3 linked regions of the Canis lupus familiaris genome follow. The protein of the gene in region 3 purifies or fractionates together with the protein of the main gene of each other region. This does not show direct contact. Links are inferred from orthologs where the notes say so. Each region holds a gene or a part of one and is shown on either strand. Other genes may lie near its edges.

Evidence for each region. Proteins that work in one complex are often made in the same cells at the same time.
Region 1: the proteins of ZMYND8 (region 3) and CSNK2B purify together in Homo sapiens (affinity purification with mass spectrometry; 3 studies listed by BioGRID and IntAct, with this or other methods). This does not show direct contact. The link is inferred for Canis lupus familiaris from reciprocal best matches to the Homo sapiens genes ZMYND8 and CSNK2B.
Region 2: the proteins of ZMYND8 (region 3) and histone-binding protein RBBP7 purify together in Homo sapiens (affinity purification with mass spectrometry; 3 studies listed by BioGRID and IntAct, with this or other methods). This does not show direct contact. The link is inferred for Canis lupus familiaris from reciprocal best matches to the Homo sapiens genes ZMYND8 and RBBP7.

What each region holds. Positions count from the first base shown.
Region 1 is NC_049233.1:1,285,309-1,292,388, reverse strand, and holds the start of CSNK2B (casein kinase II subunit beta), read right to left. Parts: upstream 4,272-7,080; 5' UTR 4,182-4,271; coding exon 4,133-4,181; exon of another isoform or gene 4,054-4,132; intron 4,043-4,053; exon of another isoform or gene 3,635-4,042; intron 3,535-3,634; exon of another isoform or gene 3,382-3,534; intron 3,259-3,381; exon of another isoform or gene 3,111-3,258; intron 2,790-3,110; coding exon 2,707-2,789; intron 1,972-2,706; coding exon 1,869-1,971; intron 1,311-1,868; coding exon 1,195-1,310; intron 562-1,194; coding exon 486-561; intron 339-485; coding exon 149-338; intron 1-148. Other genes in the region: GPANK1 (G patch domain and ankyrin repeat-containing protein 1), read left to right, coding at 5,172-5,782, 6,774-7,080. UniProt on the Homo sapiens protein: Regulatory subunit of casein kinase II/CK2.
Region 2 is NC_049260.1:13,086,358-13,093,437, forward strand, and holds the start of histone-binding protein RBBP7, read right to left. Parts: upstream 4,854-7,080; 5' UTR 4,839-4,853; coding exon 4,691-4,838; intron 4,412-4,690; coding exon 4,267-4,411; intron 4,261-4,266; exon of another isoform or gene 3,861-4,260; intron 3,650-3,860; exon of another isoform or gene 2,230-3,649; intron 1-2,229. UniProt on the Homo sapiens protein: Core histone-binding subunit that may target chromatin remodeling factors, histone acetyltransferases and histone deacetylases to their histone substrates in a manner that is regulated by nucleosomal DNA.
Region 3 is NC_049245.1:34,968,229-34,975,208, reverse strand, and holds part of ZMYND8 (protein kinase C-binding protein 1), read left to right. Parts: intron 1-4,553; coding exon 4,554-4,946; intron 4,947-6,909; coding exon 6,910-6,980. UniProt on the Homo sapiens protein: Chromatin reader that recognizes dual histone modifications such as histone H3.1 dimethylated at 'Lys-36' and histone H4 acetylated at 'Lys-16' (H3.1K36me2-H4K16ac) and histone H3 methylated at 'Lys-4' and histone H4 acetylated at 'Lys-14' (H3K4me1-H3K14ac).

The DNA of each region.
Region 1 (7,080 bases), on a different chromosome or scaffold from region 3:
TGAGGCACAGGCAGGCAAACACCTTCCCCAAGGTTACTCGCTCTGGGAGAAGCAAACCTCAAGAAAGGACCATGCCCTGTCCTCCCTTCTCTCTGGGGAATCCCAAACCTTTCCTTTGACCCTGGGTAACTCTATCCCTGCTCCCCACCTGGGCACAAACTGGTTCGCGGGCCGCTTGGGCCGGTACTCGGGGTGCACCATGAAGAGCATGTGAGGGAAACCGGTGCCGAAGTAGGCGCCATCCGTGTGATGGTGCCTCGATGACTTGGGTGTGTACACGTCCATGCACTTGGGGCAGTAGAGCTTCACCATGGCCTCACCTGGGATGTCCGAAAGGCCTGGGAGACAGCTAGACTCAGCAGGCCAGGCACCCCCGAGCCTGCCCCACCACCCTCCCAGACTCAGGCTCAGACTTGCTGAGCCCCATTTCCTTCCCAGAGGACTGGCCATTTCATGAGGCCTCCTTTCCCTTCTCCAACACTCACCGATGGGAAGCATTGGCTGGTTCTCACAGTACACACGGGGACAGTAGCCAAAGTCTCCCTGCTGGTACTTTTCCAACTGAGGTGAATAAAATGAAAGGGGCCGGTGGGTAGGTATGAAAAGAAGAGGCAATCCCCTCCTCAGTCCAACCCACATTGCTCTGTCCTCCACTCCTGCCTCCTTCCGTCCAGATGCCCATTTTAAGCTGGCCAGATGGGCCCTCCTACTCCCCTGCTTCCTTTTCTCCAGGTAGGCAAGTTACAGACCATCAGAGCCATTTGCTGTTTGTTCCCTGAGGAAGAGGCAGACTGCAAAAAATTCCTGTCCAAGGTCACGTCTCCCTCCCTGAAAATACCTCAGTCAGCACAACCCCAATTAGGATTTAATCCCCAGGCCCAGGTTCTGGGGTTCTTCCCCCTCCTTTTTTTTTTCTTAAAGATTTTATTTATTCACGAGAGACAGAAAGAGAGACAGACACAGGCAAGAGAAGAGGCAGGTTCCCTGCGGGGAGCCCAATGCGGGACTCAATCCCAGGACCCCAGGATCACAACCTGAGCCGAAGGCAGACGCTCAGCCTCTGAGCCACCCAGGCGCCCTCTTCCCCTCTTCTTAGCTATAATCTGTGACAAGTTTGAAAACGTGACTCCTTGCTGCAAGAACCTGTTTCCCTTACTACCTCAGAGGAGTCAAGTGGGAGCAGAGAGGCCTCACCATCTGGGCGATGCCACGGTTGGTGAGGATATAGCGGGCGTGGATCAATCCATAAAGCATCTCGGCTGCCTGCTCAATCAGGTCGCTCTGGTTGGGGTTGTCTTCCAGCTCTTCATCTGAAACATGGCCGCAGCCAATTGCAATCACTTGTCTTACAGCTTTCTTAGGTGCCCCATCCACCTCCAGGGGCTGCTGGCTACTCATCTTTGCGCCACCCATCACCTGGGCATTTGACCCAGAAACCTGGGCCTCTGGCCCTTCCACCCACCCACCCAAGGCAGCTCTGCCTTCTCTCTATACCTCTTCAGCCTTTACTCTCTTCTCTCCCTCCCAACTCTCTCAACACATAAATGAAAAAGATCAACATAGAAGCTGGAACTCTAGACTGAAAGGTGCAAGGCAAGACAGGTAAGCAGGAAATGAGATCCATGAGGAAACTAACATTAAGGGAGAGAGCCAAGTTACAGGATCAGAGTGTAGAATGAGGCTGTCACAAATCCAGGCAAAAGTCAGATGAGAGAGCAAAATAAAGTACAGAACTTAGGACAAAAGCAATCAGAGAACCAAAAGGAAATTTAGAAATTCAAGAAGCAGATCAACAGGAATTTGGGAGAAAAAAGAAAAACCACACACACACACACACACACACAAAGATAACCCCGAGGATGCCTCACCAGGCTCCAGGTCCAAGATCATGTCTAGAGCTTGTCGATAGTGAGGCACCTGCTCATTGAGTCCAGTGAGATTGAATTTATCCTGGATGTAGTCTTCATCCACCTGTCAGGATGTGGAAGTCAAGAAGAAACCCATAGCAGAATCCTCAGCTTTGATCTGGGCACATTGCTCTAATTGGTGCCTTGTTTCCAACACAACTGCTTCTGTTTTCCCTAATTCCCCACACCAACTCAGCAGAAATCCTTGAGTCTCTCTCCCCAGTTCACATACACTGCCTTCCCATAAAAGCTCTGGCTTTTCTTTCCTAAGGATAAGCAGCTACAACAATCTCTTCCTTAACGAGACACTCCTTTTAAAATCCCTGTTCCTATTCTTGATCCCATCTCTACAGACCAGTTTTGTCCTCTCCTTACCGGCAGCTAGAACTCTAAGAAAAGCAGCGACTAAACAGCTTGGGTCCTGTGGGCAGTTATAATCCATTATATCATTAGCACAAAACTTTGCCTGTTACAAAACATTTTGATAAACGGCATTTTAATCCTAATAGGCTCCCAAATTAAGCACTACTAGTACAAGCCTAGCAATAATAATAAGAATAACAGTAGTAGTAGTAGTAGTAATAAAGTTGACTTTTCCAATATTACACCGCTGGACAGTAACAGGCTTGGGATGGGCAAGTCTTGCCACTTCACAAATTAGTGAGGGGAGTTACTGAAGGGACTCTTCCTTGACAGGAAAAAGTTTCTATGACAGCCTGTAAGAGAAGTAGAAGCTAAATATGTGGAAAAACATACAGCCAAACTTTGTGCGGACATAGCTGGGAGATTGAGAACTCACTTCACAAAAGAATTCATTGCCACGGAGCCCACAGAACCAGGATATCCAAGACACCTCCTCTGAGCTGCTCATCTTCACGTCAGCTGGGAAAAAAAAAAAAAAGAGGGTAAACAAAGGCCAAGCTCCCCCACCCTGTCTCTGGTACCTTCCCTCCTCCCCACACTCTGCTCCCCGACCATGGAAGAATTTGGAGCCCCCTTTTCTTAAAGGATCCTAGACCCTGGCGCACCTGCCTCCAATTCCTCTTATTCACTAGAGGCTCTTTGGAGTCCCACCACTTCTGAAAAACCGACAGGTCTAGGCTCACCCGTCCTACCCACACCCCTAACAATCCCGAAAACCAGCACCCTCTCCTCTTTACGTCAAGTCCCTCCCTCGCAGGGCTCTCGGCTCGAGATCCCTACCCCGCAGGTCTCCGCATGTCCCCGACACCTTTCCCAAGGGTTCCGAAGTTTATCCTTTCCAAGCAAAAGCCAGGACCCTTTCCCCTCACGACCTGGAGGTGGCCCTGGGTCCCTCTCACAGGAGTCCCCACACCCCGCCTCTCAGGCCAACCCTCCCTCCCCCGGTGCCGGACCGGGTCACTTCCTTCCCCACCCCCACACCAACGCGCGGAGACCCCATGTGCCGCGCCTAAGGACGGAAGACTCGATGCGGCAACGACCTCAGACTCACCGGCTGGGCGGGGACCGGGACCGGGACCGGGGTGGGGGAGGGGAGTTGCTGCTTCCAAAGAACCGCGACGGCTACAGCGCAGGCCGCGGACCCGACCGCGGCAGGCGAAGTAGCGAGGGGGGGGGGGCGGGGGGCGGTGTGTGTGGAAATTGGGGAGGGTGGGGAGAGGGCAACGCGCAAGCGCCAAGGGTCGGGCGCCGCAGTGAACGCCGGGAAATGGAGTCCCAGGTAAAGAGAAACTGGCGAAGCGAAGAACAGGCGAACTACGAATCCCAGGATGACCCACGAACGACCCTGGCGTCGCGAGGCCCAGGAACAAGACGCTCGGGGGTGGGGAGCAGCGGGATACCACCGGAAGCGGAAGCGCAGTACCCCGTTCTGGGCCAGGGAGTATGGGAAATAGAGTCGTAGGGTCGCGCAACTGAGGGGCCGGGAGGGGGCGGGGAAGGAACGGGGCTGGAGGGCTGGATTCCTGCAACTCCCCTCACACAGCGAGGCTCTGCCCCAGGTGTTTGCCGGCAGCCCAGGGTGCTGACCTCGTCCCCGACTACCCCACCGGGTCCTTGTTGCCTGCGGAGCCTCTCGCCAGAGTCAGGCCCGCCACTGGAGGCCCCACCCGGGCCGGTGCTTCACCCCGGGGTCTAGTCTCCTCAGGCGGGAGGTGAGGCCGGGCTCCTTGCTTGCGGGACGTGGGAAGAGTGGGCTGGGCTGAGGTGAGCGGTGTGAGAATTGGGACGGCCTGTGCGCTAACCTGAAGTGGCGCCAGCCATTCTGCTGCTCGTCCCCTTGCACTTTTCCATCTCCTCTCAGAGCTTGAATGGGGCCTTCTGCTGCGGGCACTAAGTGTGACCTTCGAACCCTGCTCAGAATAATGGTGAGGGGTGGCGTGACGTTATTTCACTTCACGGCTTCGGGGCATTCCACAGGTTTCCTCCCGCCTTCTCAGAGCCCTCCTTAACTCGGTGGTTTCGCAGGTCCAAAAACTGCGCTCGGAGTGGGGGGCCACGTTCCGGGAGGCGAAGGGCATTGTGGGGCGTTATGTAGAAGTAGGACCCCAACCGACAGAGCCTCTGTCCTCGCGCTGCCTGGGCACGTGGCATCCTGGAGGGTCCCACCGTGCGAAGGCTCAGCCTGGCGCTTCGCACACGCCCGCACCCTCAAGTTCTGCTTTGTGGTGGTTGATTTTTTTTTCAGTCACACATGTGTGTCTGGGTCGTGTGGCTATTGGACTGGCAGCACCTTTGCTTAGATAAAATTTTTGTGGTACAGAGACCCTGTGGGGTCTCCACAGAGACTGGAGTTTCTCCCCCAAATCTTCTTCTTGCATCCGGAGAAGGTTAAAAGTCTGTTTTTGTTTGGAAAGACCCTACCCTGACATAGGATCAAGGAAGATTTAAAGGGCTAGGCTGATTGTTTTCTTAACTGCACGTCTTACCTGGTGATCAAGTAGTTTGAGAGAGAAGCTGTTTTTACTTATTGGTGAGGATAGGGATGGGCCTCTGGGCAATTCTCATTAAATCTTTGTTAAGTTAACCTTTACGAGGGATATGGGCTGTTATTGTATGGCTCCCTGTTTTTCCACATGACCTATGGTCCTTAGGCCCTGTAGGGTCCTAGGTTGTGGGGTCACTTAGAGTATAAGACGGGTTTTTGACTTGGAAAAGGCTACTTTTCCTCATCCCAGCAGATCTGTGGAGGTGGTTCTGGTCAGTGCAGAGCCACCAAGGGATTGGCTTGCTTGTCTCATACGCCCTTTAATTAGTCTCATTGTCTCAGTTCTCCCAAAAGCCATGTCCAGGCCCTCCCTCATCACCTTCACCCCGGCCACCAACCCCAGTGACCTCTGGAAAGATGGGCAGCAGCAGTCACAGCCTGAAGAGCTGGAGCCCACCCTGAATGGGGCTGCAGCCCGGGCTTTCTATGAGGCCCTGATTGCAGAAGAGAGCAGCATCCCTGCATCCCAGAGATCTCAGCCTGAACCTGACAGGAAAAGAAAGAGGAAGAAGAGAAGAATGATGGGGGAAGCTGCTGTAGGAGCCTCAGCAGGACATGGACAAAGGAGATCCCTTGAGGCAGAGGACAAGATGACCCATTGGATACTGAGGGCAGCCCAGGAGGGTGACCTAGCAGAACTAAGAAGGCTCTTGGATCCCCACGAGGCAGGGGGAGCGGGGGGCAATATCAATGCTCGGGATGCCTTCTGGTGGACCCCCCTGATGTGTGCTGCTCGAGCAGGCCAGGGGGCTGCTGTGCGCTATCTCCTGGGCCGTGGAGCTGCCTGGGTGGGTGTCTGTGAGCTGGGTGGCAAGGATGCTGCTCAGCTGGCTGAAGAAGCGGGTTTTCCTGAGGTGGCGCGCATGGTCCGAGAGAGCCACGGAGAGACGAGGAATCCAGAGAACCGGTGAGAGGAAGCCTTAACCCATGCCCATCTTTCAGTGTGTTCTGCCCTTCCTAGTCCCTCCATGCCAGAGGCTCCGGAACAGACTCAAAGATTCTCTCCCTGATCCCCAGTGTAGGTTGATATGGCAATGGAATCGAGTAGTAGTAAATGTGAGCTCCCTGTTTTTTTTGTGTGTGTGTTTTTTTAAGATTTTTATTTATTTATTCATGAGAGACACAGAGAGAGAGAGAGAGGCAGAGGGAGAAGCAGGCTCCCTGCAGGGAGCCCGATGTGGAACTCATCCAAGGTCTCCAGGATCACACCCTGGGCCAAAGGCAGGCGCTCAACCGCTGAGCCACCCAGGTGTCCCAGCTCCCTGGGTTTAAATTCTGATTCTACTTACTTGGTCAAGCAACCTAATTTTTATGTGCCTCATTTTCCTTATCTGAGAAATGGGGGGTAACAAGAGCACCTGTTAAAGAATTGTGAGGATTTAATGGGTCAATATATGTAAAGTGTTAGGATGACGGTTTACCATATATATATATATATAGTTAATATATATATATAGGGGATTAACTATATACATATATATAGGGGATCCCTGGTGGCGCAGGGCGCGATCCTGGAGACCCGGGATCGGATCCCACATCGGGCTCCCGGTGCATGGAGCCTGCTTATGTCTCTGCCTCTCTCTCTCTCTCTTTCTCTCTGTGACTATCATAAAAAAAAAAAAAAATTTTTTTAAACTATATATATATAAATATACATATATAAATATATATATAAATTGTAGTTATTATGCCTTGCCCAAGATCTTGTGAAGCCTGGTTGCTATTTCTTCTAGCTGTTCCCCTCTGGGTCCCTCATTGCTAAGTGGGTTGGAAGGCAATTTCTTTCTTAGCAGAAAGGCTAGAAGGACTTCCCACCTTGCCACCCCGCTCTGCCTGCCTCCCTCTCCACTCCCTCCACTCTTCCCCTGCCCTCATCTCTTTCTCTTTTTCCCCTACAGGTCCCAATCCCCTTCCTTCCAGTACTGCGAGACCTGCAATGCTCACTTCCAAGACTCTAATCATTGGACATCCACTGCTCACCTGCTGTCACTGCCTCGTGATCTCAGGTCCCCCAACCTGCCCCTTGGGGTGCCCGCCTCCAGCCCAGGCTTTAAGCTGCTGCTGAGGGGAGGCTGGGAGCCTGGAATGGGGCTGGGACCCCGGGGTGAGGGCCGCACCAACCCCATCCCCACTGTCCTCAAGAGGGACCAGGAAGGATTAGGCTACAGATCGGTGCCCCAACCCCGAGTCACACACTTTCTGGCC
Region 2 (7,080 bases), on a different chromosome or scaffold from region 3:
ATTAGGCTCTAAGCAATGTAACTGAGGAGGACTTAGACAAAATGAAATCTTTGTAGCTCAAAATGAAAGGGAACTTAAACACATCTCATTAGAACCATTTGAAAATTTAAAAAAAAAAAAAAAAAACCACTTGAAAAGGGGGCAGCCCGGGTGGCTCAGGGGTTTAGCGCCACCTTCAGTCCAGGGCCTGATCCTGGAGACTAGGGGTCGAGTCCCACGTCAGGCTCCCTGCATGGAGCCTGCTTCTCCCTCTGCCTGTGTCTCTGCCTCTCTGTCTCATAAATAAATAGAATCTTAAAAAAAAAAAAAAAAGAAAAAGGAATGCTTGAGAGAAAGGAAGCACCACAAAGCAAGGTTAAGGCTAACATAAAAGGAAGAAGTATTTTATTAGGGGGTTAAACAGAAAAAAATAGGACCTTTCTAAGAAGCCCGGTCCCAACATGGATGGAGGATCTGAAAAATTCCTTGACTCTAAAATTCAATTCAGGTATCCCCCGTCACAATAATCATGTAAGGATTTTTTTTTCTTTTTTACTGGCAATCCTTTCAAGTCCATCATTAAAATACAAACTTATTTTCCTGAACCAACAATATTACAGTATTTTCCTCCAATGCTGAATGCACCTAAAGCTGCAGGAGCACTAATGTTAAAAGACCTTGTCCATTTTTCAGTGCCAGCATCCTTTGATCAATCACTTAAGACTCCACGGCTAAGAAAGTCACCTAACAATCACAGATTATCACAAGATTATTCTCAGTAGCATTGTCTTAGTGGAAAAAGACTGATGACAACCTTTAAATATCTATTAATAAAGAACTGGTGGGACACCTGGGTGGCTCAGCGGTTGAGTGTCCACCTTTGGCTCAGGGTGTGATCCTGGAGTCCCGGGATCGAGTCCCACATCGGGTTCCCTGCATGGAGTATGCTTGTCCCTCTGCCTAGGTCTCTGCCTCTCTCATGAATAAATAAAATCTTTTTAAAAAATCTCTAAAAAATTTTAAAAAGAACTGGTGATATACATAATAGTATATTCATAAAGGGAATTCTATGGAGCCCTTAAAGCAAAAGAGCATATCTAAGCATGCTGATAGGAAGTCTCCAACATAAACTACAAACTGTAAAGTCAAGTGAGTAACTTGCTATCATTAAAAAAAGATTTAGGGGAGGGGTGCCTAGGTGGCTCAGTCAGTTAAGTGTTTAATTCTTGGTTTCCGCTCAGGTCATGATCTCATGGTCCTGAGATCAAGCCCTGTGTCAAGCTCTGCACTCAGCAGGGAATCTGCTTAAGTTTCTCTCTCTCCCTTGCCCTCTGCCCCTCCCCCTGCTCATGCACAACCAGTTCACCCAAAGGGGGGGAGGGGGGAAGAGAGAGAGAGAGAGATGGAGGGTAGGTGTGTGTAATGTGTATATACACTTATTTCTGGCAGGATCAGTTAAAAAAGCCAGCCAAAAATGACTCAACTCTGGGTAATAAACCAGGAGAACAGGGAACATGGAAGGGAGACTTATTATTTTCTCTATGTACTTTGTACCATCTGAATTTGAAGGATTACAAAGGTTTCTAAGTACAGAATAAGTTAGTCTCAAGATGTTTAAGAAATTATTTAATAAAAAATATGGAATAATGGAATTACAGATTAGAAATACCTAAATAAAAAATTTTTAAGATTTTATTTATTCATGATAGAGAAAGAGAGAGAGAGAGAGAGAGAGGCAGAGACACAAGCAGAGGGAGAAACAGGCTCCATGCCAGGAGCCCGACGCGGGACTCGATCCCGGGACTCCAGGATCGCACCCTGGGCCAGAGGCAGGCATTAAACCGCCAAGCCACCCAGGGATTCCCCCCTAAATAAAAATTTTTACAAGGCAAATCCACCATGTGGACAATTACCTAATTTAGTTTAAGGACAACAGTTCAGAAAGTGCAAGTAATTATTGGGAGGTATGCTCTATGTAGTATGTAGGTAAAAGCCTCATGAGGTTGACTAGCATCACATTCCTCAAAGACCCTGGGAATAAGAGTAGCCAACATCTCCGGTGTTCCGTATAGTAACAAAACACAATCACAGTCCCTTCATACTCCAAGTAGAATCCTGCAAAAGTACCACACAGCCATCCTCAACATCCAAGAATGCAGGCTGGCTGGCATTTTCTTGCATTCCCAGAGCAACTGCACATCCCACAACCAGATCCCACTTCTTTGTATGCAAAGAACACCACGGAATACATCATTTAAAGTATTTTTTGTTAAGTTCTTAAGTGTTAACATAAAAGCAGTATTGGCGGGGGGCTGGCGGGCTCAGTAGGTGGAACATGTGACTCTTGATCTCAGGGCTGTAAATCTGAGCTCCACGTTGGGTGTAGAGATTACTTAAAAATAAAAATCTTTTCAAAAGCAGTATCCGGGCTAAGAACATACACATTTAACATCCTTAAAATTGTTACACAAAACACAGATAACATTTTCAGAAGACTTGAATAAGCAGTTTTCACTGGAATCCAAATGGAGAAACACAGTTACTACAGTCTAATTATTTCTGAATACAAAGGGGGAGAAAATCAGCATCAGTCACCACTTATTGCGGACTTCTTCTGTGCCAGCACTTTAAAAGTGCATGATCTTATTTCATTTCCTCAAAAGTAGGCAGTCAGAAGCACCAGCACCTCCACTTACAGATCAGACAGCTTGGGAATAGAGACTGACCAATGTGCCCTAATTTAGCTATTAAGAAGCAGGCGGCAGGATTCAAACTCAGGTTTCTAACCTTAGAGTCCTAAACACCTCCGCTGTGTTCTGCTGGTAAGGTAGATCAAAAAGATCCAAAATAATGTAAATTAAGCTGTTAAAGGTTTTAATTTACTTAACAGGAGTGCACAAAGAATCAAAAGTACATGGTGCTCAAAGGAGAACCTGAATACCCTTAAGTATTTGATGTTCAAAATTGTTATGTCAGTGTTTTGAAGTCTGTTTTTTATTTCTTGGCTATTCTTATCACATCTGTGTATTTACACTGATTTTGGGGAATCCTAATAAAAGCCTCTACCTATATGGAAGACAATGTCTGCATATGGAGAATTCGGCCATTAAAGGAGTAACCTCATAGAAAATTAACTTGCTCTTATTTTCAGAAATTGTCTCAAAATCCCCTTCCTACGTTAGTTTTGTTAATCCTCATTAAAAATATATGTTCACAATACCCAAATTAAATACTTTTAAAGTACACAGCCAAGTTCCTACTAGAAAAAGTGCAAGCGCTTAAGAAAGTCTAATAATACAGGAGTTGCCTCAACTCTGGGGTACCCGGTTTGGGTTCAAAATCCCACTCCACCACTTGCTGGATGATCCTGGGTATTTTAACACCCCCACCCCAGTTTCCACAACAGTAAGACAAAGATGATAAAGAATAATCATAGTATACTTTTTCATAGTATAATTCTGAATATTAAACAACTGGACACAAAACTGTTGAGATGTGCCAGGCCCTATTTTAAGTGTTCAATAATACCAGCAATTATTACCAGAGAAATTTTAGAAACGGCTGAAAAGAACCAACAGCAACCTCCAAGTGTATTCCACACTATCAGCTAGTAACGTCTTTTCTTCAGTGAACTACTGCTAAATTCTTTTTTCCCTTTGTCAATTAAAACCTATTCATATAGGGATCCCTGGGTGGCGCAGTGGTTTGGCGCCTGCCTTTGGCCCGGGGCGCGATCCTGGAGACCCGGGATCGAATCCCATATCGGGCTCCTGGTGCATGGAGCCTGCTTCTCCCTCTGCCTGTGTCTCTGCCTCTCTCTCTCTCTCTGTGTGACTATCATAAATAAATTAAAAAAAAAAAAAAAAAAAAAAAAAAAAAACCTATTCATATAGTGGTGGCTGGTTACATGGATGTGCTCCCTTCGTAAAAATCCATCCAGCCATATGCTTATGATTTGTGCATTTTTCTGTACGTGTGCTCTTTTTCAATAAAGTTTTAAAGAAATCCATTAGTCTGGGTCCCCAAAATGCTGCTCTATATTTAATCCCAAGAACTGTTAAATTCGTTAGATGCTCCCCACAAATATCATTAATCGCACTTTGTCCCCACGCTTACATATCAAAAACCATCCCATAAATCACTTGTTTTGAAAATAAAAATCACCTGCCACCTCATGCAAGGGCTAAATTGATTACACGCTCATGTTCTATGTGTAAAATGCCAAAACTAGGAATTTCGGGATAATAGTCAAATTTATGCAAAGTAAAAGTTGCCAGAAACCCTTACTTAGTCACTTCAGGAAGCCACTGAACGGTAAGACTCGGCCACTGAAGAGCATGGGTCATAACCAGGTCATACAGAAACGGTGTATTCTTCTTCCAGATTTTATATTCTTCATTGATGACACGCTCCTCCACAGTATCTTCAAACACTGAAATTTGGAGAAATCCCACACAATTAAGTGGCTGAGAGAAATCGAGTTAGAATCTGTACACAGATAGTGGAGGTCACCTCGAGATGGCCACACCTAATCTACTCCTCAGCTTTACGTTTAATTTGGACACGAACTAACTGCTCTTCCAGAACGTGAGGAGAATATTAACACCAGGAAGCTTATTTTTTGCACTTAGAAATCGATACTGCTTGCGTATACAGAATTGGGCAATTACACAGACGACGATTTTGTTTCAGCAGTTACAGCTGTTCGCACCTGTTCTAAGATGACGACCCATCTGTGCAGGGGCTCCACGACCCACCCCGGGAGACGAATCCACGTGTAGCAGAAACCCCTCGGCCCGCTCCCTCCATCCCCCACCAGGAGCGGCCTCCGCTCCCACGAAGCCCGCGTCAGCAGCCATAGGCCGGCGTGTGCCAGAATCCCCCGGACAAGGGCCGCGACCCCGAAGCGGTCGACGCGCGCGCGTGGAAGGAGCAGCCGTGTCCGCTTTCCGGTGGCGGAGGCCGCCTCCGCCCGAGAGCCAAGGGCGCCGGAGGGAGCGCCGCCGCCAGAGGGGGGGGAGGGGAGCGGGGGGGGGCAGAGGGGGAAGGGGGCCCAACCCGCGGCCCCGCGCCCGGCTCCGGAAGTGCTCGGAGCCCTCCGCGCCGCGGTCCCGTCCCGCTGTAGGCCCCTCGAGGCGCGCGCCTAGCCTCGCGCCCGGCCCCGCCCCCTGCTCCTCACGCCAATTCGCGCCTTTCGCCGGCGCGTGCCGCGGCCTCGCGCGCCCGCCGCCCCCCGCGGTCCCGGCGCGCGCCGCCCCGCAGGGCCTCTTACTCTCTTTACTCGCCATCTTGCGTCGGGTCGTTCGCCCCTCGCCGCCGCCTCGGACTCCCCTCGCTAGCCAACAGCAGCCCAACCGCAGGCGTTCCTGCCTCGCCCAGGCGCGTCACACACTTCTAGCTCTCGAAGCGTGAGCTCCGTCTTACGGCCTGGGTGCTCCCCAAACGCTGCGTCCTTCTCTCCTGCCTCCTCCCCGCTCGCGGGTACCGAGGTCTGAGGCGCTCTTCTCTCTCTCTCCAAACTTGGAACGAGACTTTTCAACCCGCGCCTCCCAGCCCGCCCAGGCAGCTGAGCGCAGGCGCATCCGCCCTGGGAAAAGTGAGAGGCGGTGGAGAGGCGGGCCTGGGAGCCAACGGCTCGGTTGTTTCAACCAATGAGGTGCGGCACGCAGGTTTCACGCGGCATTTGTGGGCGGGCTTCTGGGGGTGGGCGGGGCGTTCCGCGGCAGGAAGTTGGCGAGGCGCAGGCGCGAGGGCTCGCCCAGCGCTCCCAGGGCCGGGCGCGGGGGCGGATGGGGGCGCGCGGGGGTGGGGCGGATGGGGGCGCGGCGTGCGGGCTGCGCGGGGGCTGTGAGCCCCGGGGCCGCGGGGCGTGGCTGCTTGCAGCGGCCGTGGCGGTGGGGTGGGAGGGGGGCAGGGAGGTTGACGCGGCTTAGCCAAGCAAAATCTCAGAGCGAGAGGAAAATGGTTTCTAGTCTCGAGAGATTACTGTGCCCTCAACGTCTCCCGGATAATCACGGGCATGCAATTCTGTGTACCCTGAAAGGCTTCCCTCTAGTCGACTGGCTTTTCCCGGGGTCCGGTCGAGCTGAGGTGGGGTTCGTTGCAGGCTGAGGAAACCTTTTACAGAGGCCGCGGGCGTTTTTTGACTGCTAAAGCCGAGGGGCCTCCCTGTTAGGCTAAACTTGCGGCCTGTTACTGGCACAAGGCCTCCGACGGCCCGAAGCTGACTTGAATTACACTGTTTGTTTGCACATTTGGGTCCTTAAAATGATTTGCGGCCTCTCGAACTGCAGAGAATTTTGTCCCTACGTTCTTGTCTCCGTGCTGGCCCCTGCTGAGTCATTCTCGTCACCCGTGGGGGTCCCAGGGCGACCCCACTCCGCGATGGCTTAGCTGGGGACAGCTGCCCTATGCGGACCCGGGATGGCTTGCTTGAGCCCTGCTTGCCTTGAAACTTGGTAGCCCCTGAGGAGTGCGTGGGGGTGAGGAGAAAGTGAGCTGCAAGGCCAGGAGGGCTGTGAGGGCCAGAGGGTACCGGGTGGGAGGACGTGGCCGAGATGCCTACGCACAAAGAGAACCTCAGTGTACATCCAGATTAGGAGAGAGGCTCCCTCTGCAAAAGCACCCGAGAACATTTGGTACCTTGATATTTTCCAAGTGCTTTCACAAGAGTGACCATGGTGATCCTCAAACGAAATTGTTCAGTTGCCGCTGTGATGCCCACTTTTCCGATCAGAAAACAAACTCAGCCCTTACTCTACTTGGTGGCAAAACCAGTAATATTACCTTATATAGAAATTTACTGTCTGATGTGTCTGCTTTACAGTAGGTTACAGTTCATTATTGTAACGCTCTGCCTTCATGTTAGGCCCAGGAATCTTGTTAGGGACTAAAGCTGTGGCGGGGCAGGGCAGTGGGGGTCTCGGCTGCAGAGGAAGGAGGGTTGGAAGGGTGTTTAAATAGCACAGCTCTCATATTCTAGAACACTGGGTGGCAAACGTTTTTCTGATGGGGGCCAGAGAGTAAATATTTTAGGTGATGGGAACAACTACTCAGCTTTGCCACCTTACAGTGAGAAAGCAACCTCAGACAATATGGATG
Region 3 (6,980 bases):
CACCTGAATTGGTGTTCCACCATCTATGTGTTTCATGGACCCGAGTCCAGGATTTCTCAGCCCTGGCTCTATTGATGTTTTATGCTGAGTGGTACTTTATCCTCTACAATGGAGCATGTTTAACATCATCCTGGGCCTCTGCCCACTGGATGCCAGTAGCATCTGCCCAGTTGTGGCAGTCAAGGATTTTTTTTTTTTTTTTTGTTCCCTGGGAAGGAGAATCTCCTCTGGCTGAGAACCAGTGCCTGATCCGAGTGGTACCCCCATTGCTGATGTTACAGATTGAACCAATAGTAGCTGCCTGGAAGCCTGCGTGGCCCAGGCCTCTTGGCAGACCCTCCAGATGGAATGTGTGAATGATGTGAAGGGTGTCCTTCCCGTGGACAAAGCAATCCGCACCCTTTTTCCATTGGTTTGGCGAATGGGTATGAGGGGATTCCAACGTACGCAAGAAAGATAATGCAGAATTAATGGAGGGCCCAGGAAAAATGTTGCCTAAGGACAAACTGGAAGTCGTGGCTGTAAAATTTTATGTACTTTGTGAGTACCATCAGGGAAAAGCAGGCTCAATTTCTGACCATGCCCGACTTTTGAGGGGAGCTGATTTTTCTCAACCCAACTCTTGAGTAAGATGTGATTCTATGCCCCCCTGGGGATTTCTGAATCTGGCTGCTTACAGGAAGTTGGGGATGGGCCTTGAGAATCTTTCTTCTGTGTCCTTGTCAGCCTGGACTGCCACGGAACCTCAGTTGTTACGGAGAGAAAATTCTTGCAGTTTGTCAGTGAGGATGGAATGAAATGTGCCTGAATGGTGCAGTGGAGGGAGAAAGAGAAGCAGTTGACTGTGGGCAGGAAGGATAGAATGCCATTCCATTCCTGAGTCACCTTAGAGTTTATGGGTAGTCTCTAAAAATTCTGATGATGTGTGGATTGGGGTTTGAGGCAAATGTGGCAGAAAATAATCAGGGAGTGCTATTTATTCCATGTGGTTTATGGGAATATTCGGGTATAGAGATGGCAGTGCTCCTGTGAATGATATAGCTATACTGTTCCTTATTTTCTGAAACATAGCTTTTGATGGATTGGTTTTATGCCTCTTCCCCTTCCAGAAAGAATCTGTAACAGACTGATAAGAAGATTTAATCATGAGACAAAATGAAAATAAAGTCTGTAAAAGATAAAAGTAGAATAGTAGGAGGTTCTGGGAAAGTTTAGGCACAGGAATAGGTTCCAGCCTTCAGATTGGCAAAATTGGGCTTTCATGTTGGCTGTGAGCTTCCTAGCAGTCAAAGCAAAAAGAGAAATACTTTAGTCCCTTAAAAGTTCTCTTATTTTTCCAAAAAGTTGGGGAGGAGGGGAAACCCAGTTGATTAAATGAAACACAGCTCTTCCTTGCACTGATGTTTGAAAGAAATATGTCCAGGGGATCCCAAGTGAGTGGTGGATGTAATTAAGAAGATGATTCTAAAATATGATTCAGTTAGGATGTCATCCCAGAGGTTGGAACAAAGACCTACCAGTCTTAAATCTAGAGCCGTTTGATGGTAGTTTTGGTCTTGAAGAATTGGCTTTGTATCAGGTTTTGTATCAGACTCTGCAGTAGAGCATTTTTTTCTTTTCTTTCTTTCTTTTTTTTTAAAAGATTTTATTTATTTTTTCATGAGAGACCCACAGAGAGAGGAGAAGCAGAGACACAGGCAGAGGGAGAAGCAGGCTCCATGTAGGGAGGCCGATGTGGCACTTGATCTCAGGACTCCAGGATCACATCCTGAGCCAAAGGCAGACACTCGATCACTGAGCTACCCAGGCATCCCTAGAGCATTTTTTTCAATGGTGTATTTTCACTTTCAAGTTTTTTTTTTTTTTTTTTAAAGATTTTATTTATTTATTCATGATAGTCACACAGAGAGAGAGAGAGAGGCAGAGACATAGGCAGAGGGAGAAGCAGGCTCCATGCAGGGAGCCCGATGTGGGATTCGATCCCGGGTCTCCAGGATCGCGCCCTGGGCCAAAGGCAGGCGCCAAACCGCTGCGCCACCCAGGGATCCCTCACTTTCAAGTTTATTAGGTAAAGAGCATATTACAGTGTGCCACAGTGACCTTCAGCTCACCTTTAGCCAGGAATGCTGCTTATATGTAGAATAGGCAGCCTGAGGTAGCAAAATAGCTTTCTAGTTGGTGATCTCAGAATAGAGGCAAAGGGAGGCTTCCTTAGAGACCCCGCTGTGCTTCCCTTACAACACCGGTAATTTCCATCTTTCTCTTAGAAAGACCCCCCTTCAGGTACTAGAATAAGTAGGTTAATTAAGTAGGGGCAGCTTCTGGAGTGTTGGCCTTGAAGAGATTCACCCTTTTCTGGGCTCTCGGTTTGATTATACACTCAAAATTTCTGGGACAAATGGAATTTCCTACCCCCCCACTTCCCCCAGTAAACCATTAGAATCTTCTAGAAATCAAAATATTTTAGTATCTAATTGGTAACCCCAAAGGGTACTTTGAGCCTAGAATCTTTTTTTGGATTGCACACTCCACAGTTTTTATTTGGAACAGAGGGCCAGCCATCACCACTGCAGAGCAGCAGCCCACCCACAAAGTTACTCTTTGCTTCTGCAAATCAGTAGAAAGAAAAGGACCTATTTGTGGTTGTCCTTTGTCTGAGGAGAGAGGGGCTAGGTTAGCTTCTCAACAGTAATGATATATATATTCATCACCTGGAAGGAAAGGGAGGCATGGAAGGTGCTTCTCTGCAAGTTAGAAGCTCCACCAGGGGACTGCCCTGGTGCACGGCTCTTAGAAAACCTGGGTTCAGAGCCCCCTTTCCTCCTGGAAGGTACAGGGGCTGTATCCAGTATCCAGCACGCAAAGTCATCCCGGCAAAGGATCAGGGTTCCTCACTGTATGAAGAGCTCCCTCCCTTTCCGGCTCCACTTATGAACTTGGCTGGGCTCTTCCTTCCTCTCCAGAGGAGCAGGAAGGCGGAGGAGAGCCAGACAGATGGGACGGCCACCAAGGAAGCTCCCTGCACCCCCTGGCCTCCTGAGTCAGGAAAGTCAGCCCCCCTCCCCTTTCTTTTTTTTCTGTCACTCTCCTTGACTTCCTAAAACTCAGGGTACTGAATATCCTTCCTGGAATAATCAAGGTCATGTCTTTTCTGGGTTACATAAATCTGAAAGGCACTTATGTCAAGGTACATTGTCTGATAAGTTGGGGGTGCTGACTTGTACCTGTGTTTTGTGTGTGATCCCTGGGCATCCTCTCTCGGGGGCAGACCCGCTCCACTGGTGGCTGGGACCTCGGCGGTGATAACGGACCCCCCTTTACAAATGAGCACAAGGGGGCTACCCCTTCTGTGCTGCTCAGTGCTTCTGGCTCTAACCCGCCTTCCTGCCACTCCTCACTGCCTGCTCTCACTGACCAAAATGCTGGCTGCTCCTGGACACGTCTTGGCTGTCGCAGTCACCCTCCAAATTCTCACTTCCGCCTGTTGAAATCCTGCCCCTCCCTCACAGCCCCCCCTCCCAGAAGACAGACTCCCGGAAAGCAGCCTTTTCCAAACTTGTCATTTACATTCATTATTCTTGCCCTTCCCAAGTCTTGCTTTGTATAATCATTGACTTCGTATTTTTATTTAAAGCTACTCTAAAATAAACTATGCTTTTAAAGCTCATTTTAGATGTAGATTTGACCATCGCACCAGTTATTGCCTGATAAAAGGTGGCAGTGGGAATAAACATATCAGAATTAAAAGCAGGGCGTATGCTTCCCATGATGAACACTAAGTAACATGCAGAATTGTCGAATCACGATATTGTACACCTGCAACAAATAGAACACCGTATGTTAACTCGACTGGAATTAAAGTGGAAAAAAAAACATTATAAAACAATATCAACAGCAACAAAGAAGCAAGTCTCCTTAGAGATAAATACCATGGTGTTGGGAAGGTTCTGGCTATGGAGTGGAATTCCCTTTAGTCCCAGGGGTCAAGGCCATTAAGAGCACACTGGGACTTAGTCCTGGAGGGAGTCAGAGGTCAAGGGAGACTCTCCTTCTGGGTGACTTCATGTTTCCAGTGCTTTGGCCCTTGGGAAGTTACCTGATACTTAGGGGTACAGGCTCTATAGGTTCTTTAGCCAAAAGGATTCTCTTAATCTCTGGGTCGACTTTGGTTGGGTGTTTCACAAAGTGCTTACCCAGTTCTAACCGTAACACAAGACAGCTTGTGGTGGTTCTGTTCCTCCACTCACTGGTGGACAGCTTGAGGGCAGGGGCTGGGTCTAGTTCGCCTCATTTGCCCCAGAGGCCCCTATAGGAGCCTCCGATGTGGGCAAGAAGAGGCCGACACTCTGAGATAGATACACAGCAGCGGCCTCTGTGGATAAGGTGAGATGTGCTCCTCCATCGGGGGTGGGGTCCTCCCACACTGAATTTGTTCAGCATTCTTGGTTGGCCTTGCTTTGTTTAACCCAGAACATGCTGGAGAAGAGAAACCCCGCAGGTGAACCTGAGTCCAATCTCTCCTCTTCTGTCCCCCCCGCCCCCCGACGCATCAGCTTTAGTTGTAGGCAAAGCTCCACCGTCCACTACGGCGGGCAGCCAGTCCCCACCTGAAACTCCGCTCCTCACCCGCTCCTCCTCCCAAACACCCACGGCTGGTGTCACGGCCACCACCAGCACCACGTCCACGGTCACGGCCCCGGCCGCCACCGCCGCCGCCGCCACTGCCGCCGCCACGGGAAGCCCGGTGAAAAAGCAGAGGCCGCTTTTACCGAAGGAGACTGCCCCGGCCGTGCAGCGGGTCGTGTGGAACTCGTCAAGTAAGTTTCAAACGTCTTCCCAAAAGTGGCACATGCAGAAGATACAGCGCCAGCAGCAGAGCCAGCAGCAGAGCCAGCAGCCTCAGTCTACCCAGGGGACGAGATATCAGACCAGACAGGCTGTGAAAGGTACCATGCCCCCTTCTGTTCAACGTGGCGCCCACTCCCTCCTCGCCACATCGACAGGAGAGACAGAAATGTTTTTCTTTTTTTTTCTTTTCTTTTTTTTTTTCAGTTCTTTTTTGTTTCATGGCCTTTGTATCTTGAAGGCCTCGCGCATTCCATGTGGCATTATTTTTAAAAGTTGTTTTGCGACTTGTTTTTTTCACTTTTATTTTTTTTCCCCTCTGTGTTAGAAACAATACATGCATATAGGCTTCTTAGAGAGGGGTAAAATATTTGCCCCACAATCTGTTGTCTTGACCGAACTTCCATTCCATTCTTCACCCTTTCTCAGTGGCCACTGTTAACCGTGAAACCTTTTTTATGCATGTATGCATATATATTTATGTATATATGACTCTTCATAAAAATAGTATTTTTTTCTTTTTCCTTTTTTTAAAACATACAAATGGTACCATACTTTTTTTTCTTCTTTTTTTCTTTTTTTTTTTTCACCCATCAGCATGTTTTGGAAGTTCATCCATGTTAGCACATATAGCTCTATCTATGTTATTTTGGACTGCTGCATAGTATTCCACAGTTGATTTAAATCAAGTATTCCCCTACTGATGGGCATTTAGGTTGCTCCCAGTTTTTTTTTTTCCCCCTGTTGTAAGCAGTGCTGCAATGAATACCTTTGTGTAAATTTTCTTGTGCACACCCATGAACCTCTTGGCATTATTTTGGGAAGAGTATGGTGTGAGGAATTGGTAGCAAAGGGTATCTTGATAACTAGAGGTTAGCCACCTACAGAAGAAGAGCCAGCATCAAGCACCAGTTGGCGAAGTTGTGGAGTCAAAACCACCCCCAGCCATGGAGGAGGCTCCATCTGGCATTGCTTGGATGAGTACCAGTTGGCCCAGCTTTCGTGAGCGCTAATGCAGATCTTGTCTCGCAGGGAAGCCTAGATCTAGATCCTTAGAGGTTGGGGTCTTTAGTTGAAACTCTCACATACTGAGTGCATCCTAGTGAGTAGAAGTATAAAGAGTTGCAGCAGGGTATGGGTCGAAAGGTAGCCAGGTCTCGAACAGCCCCTAAGAACCCTTTTGAAGACTGGAGGGTAGGAAGATTGGACAGGTGCAGTGGGAGTGCAGCTGGATTGCTCGCGGTATTTAAAGAGCTAATGGGACAGGATTGAATCCTAGTTCCAGTCTTTTTTTTGGTGTGTGTTCGTACCCGGTAAAAATTAGGAGCTTCTCCAGGGGAATTTAGGTGCTAGCAAGAAGAGGCCCATTGATGGTGTGGTTCTCAGTTTCCAAGTTGTCTTGTGTCAAAGACAAAGCTGGATACTAGTTAACCTGGTAAGGATGGGTTGTAATCAATATGTACTATTACAACAGGGAGAAAGCAGTCCAGCAGGAACTGAAGTCATTCCCAATTTGTACAGAAGTGACTGGGCGTTTTAAAAGGAGGATGAGTGTGGTGAGGGTGGGAAGGGACTGTGTAGAGACTCCAGTAGAGTCAGGGAGGTGAAATTTTACAAAAAATGGGAAGTAGTGGTTGGTCCATGTGAAACCCATACGGGGTTGCTAATAATGCTTTTTGGAGTTAGACTCCTACCATCCCATGGAGACCAGGAGACAGGGGTCGTTGAGTGTTGGCTAGAACAAATGGTAAATTCACTTGGCAGCCTTGGTTTCTCAGGCAGGTACTTTGGCAGCGGGGACTGGAGTCATCCTAGAGAAGTGAACTTGAGCTGTTGGAAGCCATGTTAGTGTTTACGGAAGGCTTTATGGGCCAAGCTTGAGGCCTAGTCCCAGAAAAGGCTGAGAGGATCCTGGCCAGAATCTGGTCACGAGGAGAATCTCTGTCACTTGAATAGAAGAGCTTAAGCAATGGACGTCAGGGACCTCACTCCCTCTCCGCAGCTTCTTGCTGGGTTGGGCCCTTCCCACAGCAGTGGGGTGACCGGGACCCTTTGCTTTCCTAGCTGTGCAGCAGAAGGAGATCACGCAGAGTCCATCCACTTCCACCATCACCCTGGTGACCAGCACTCAGTCA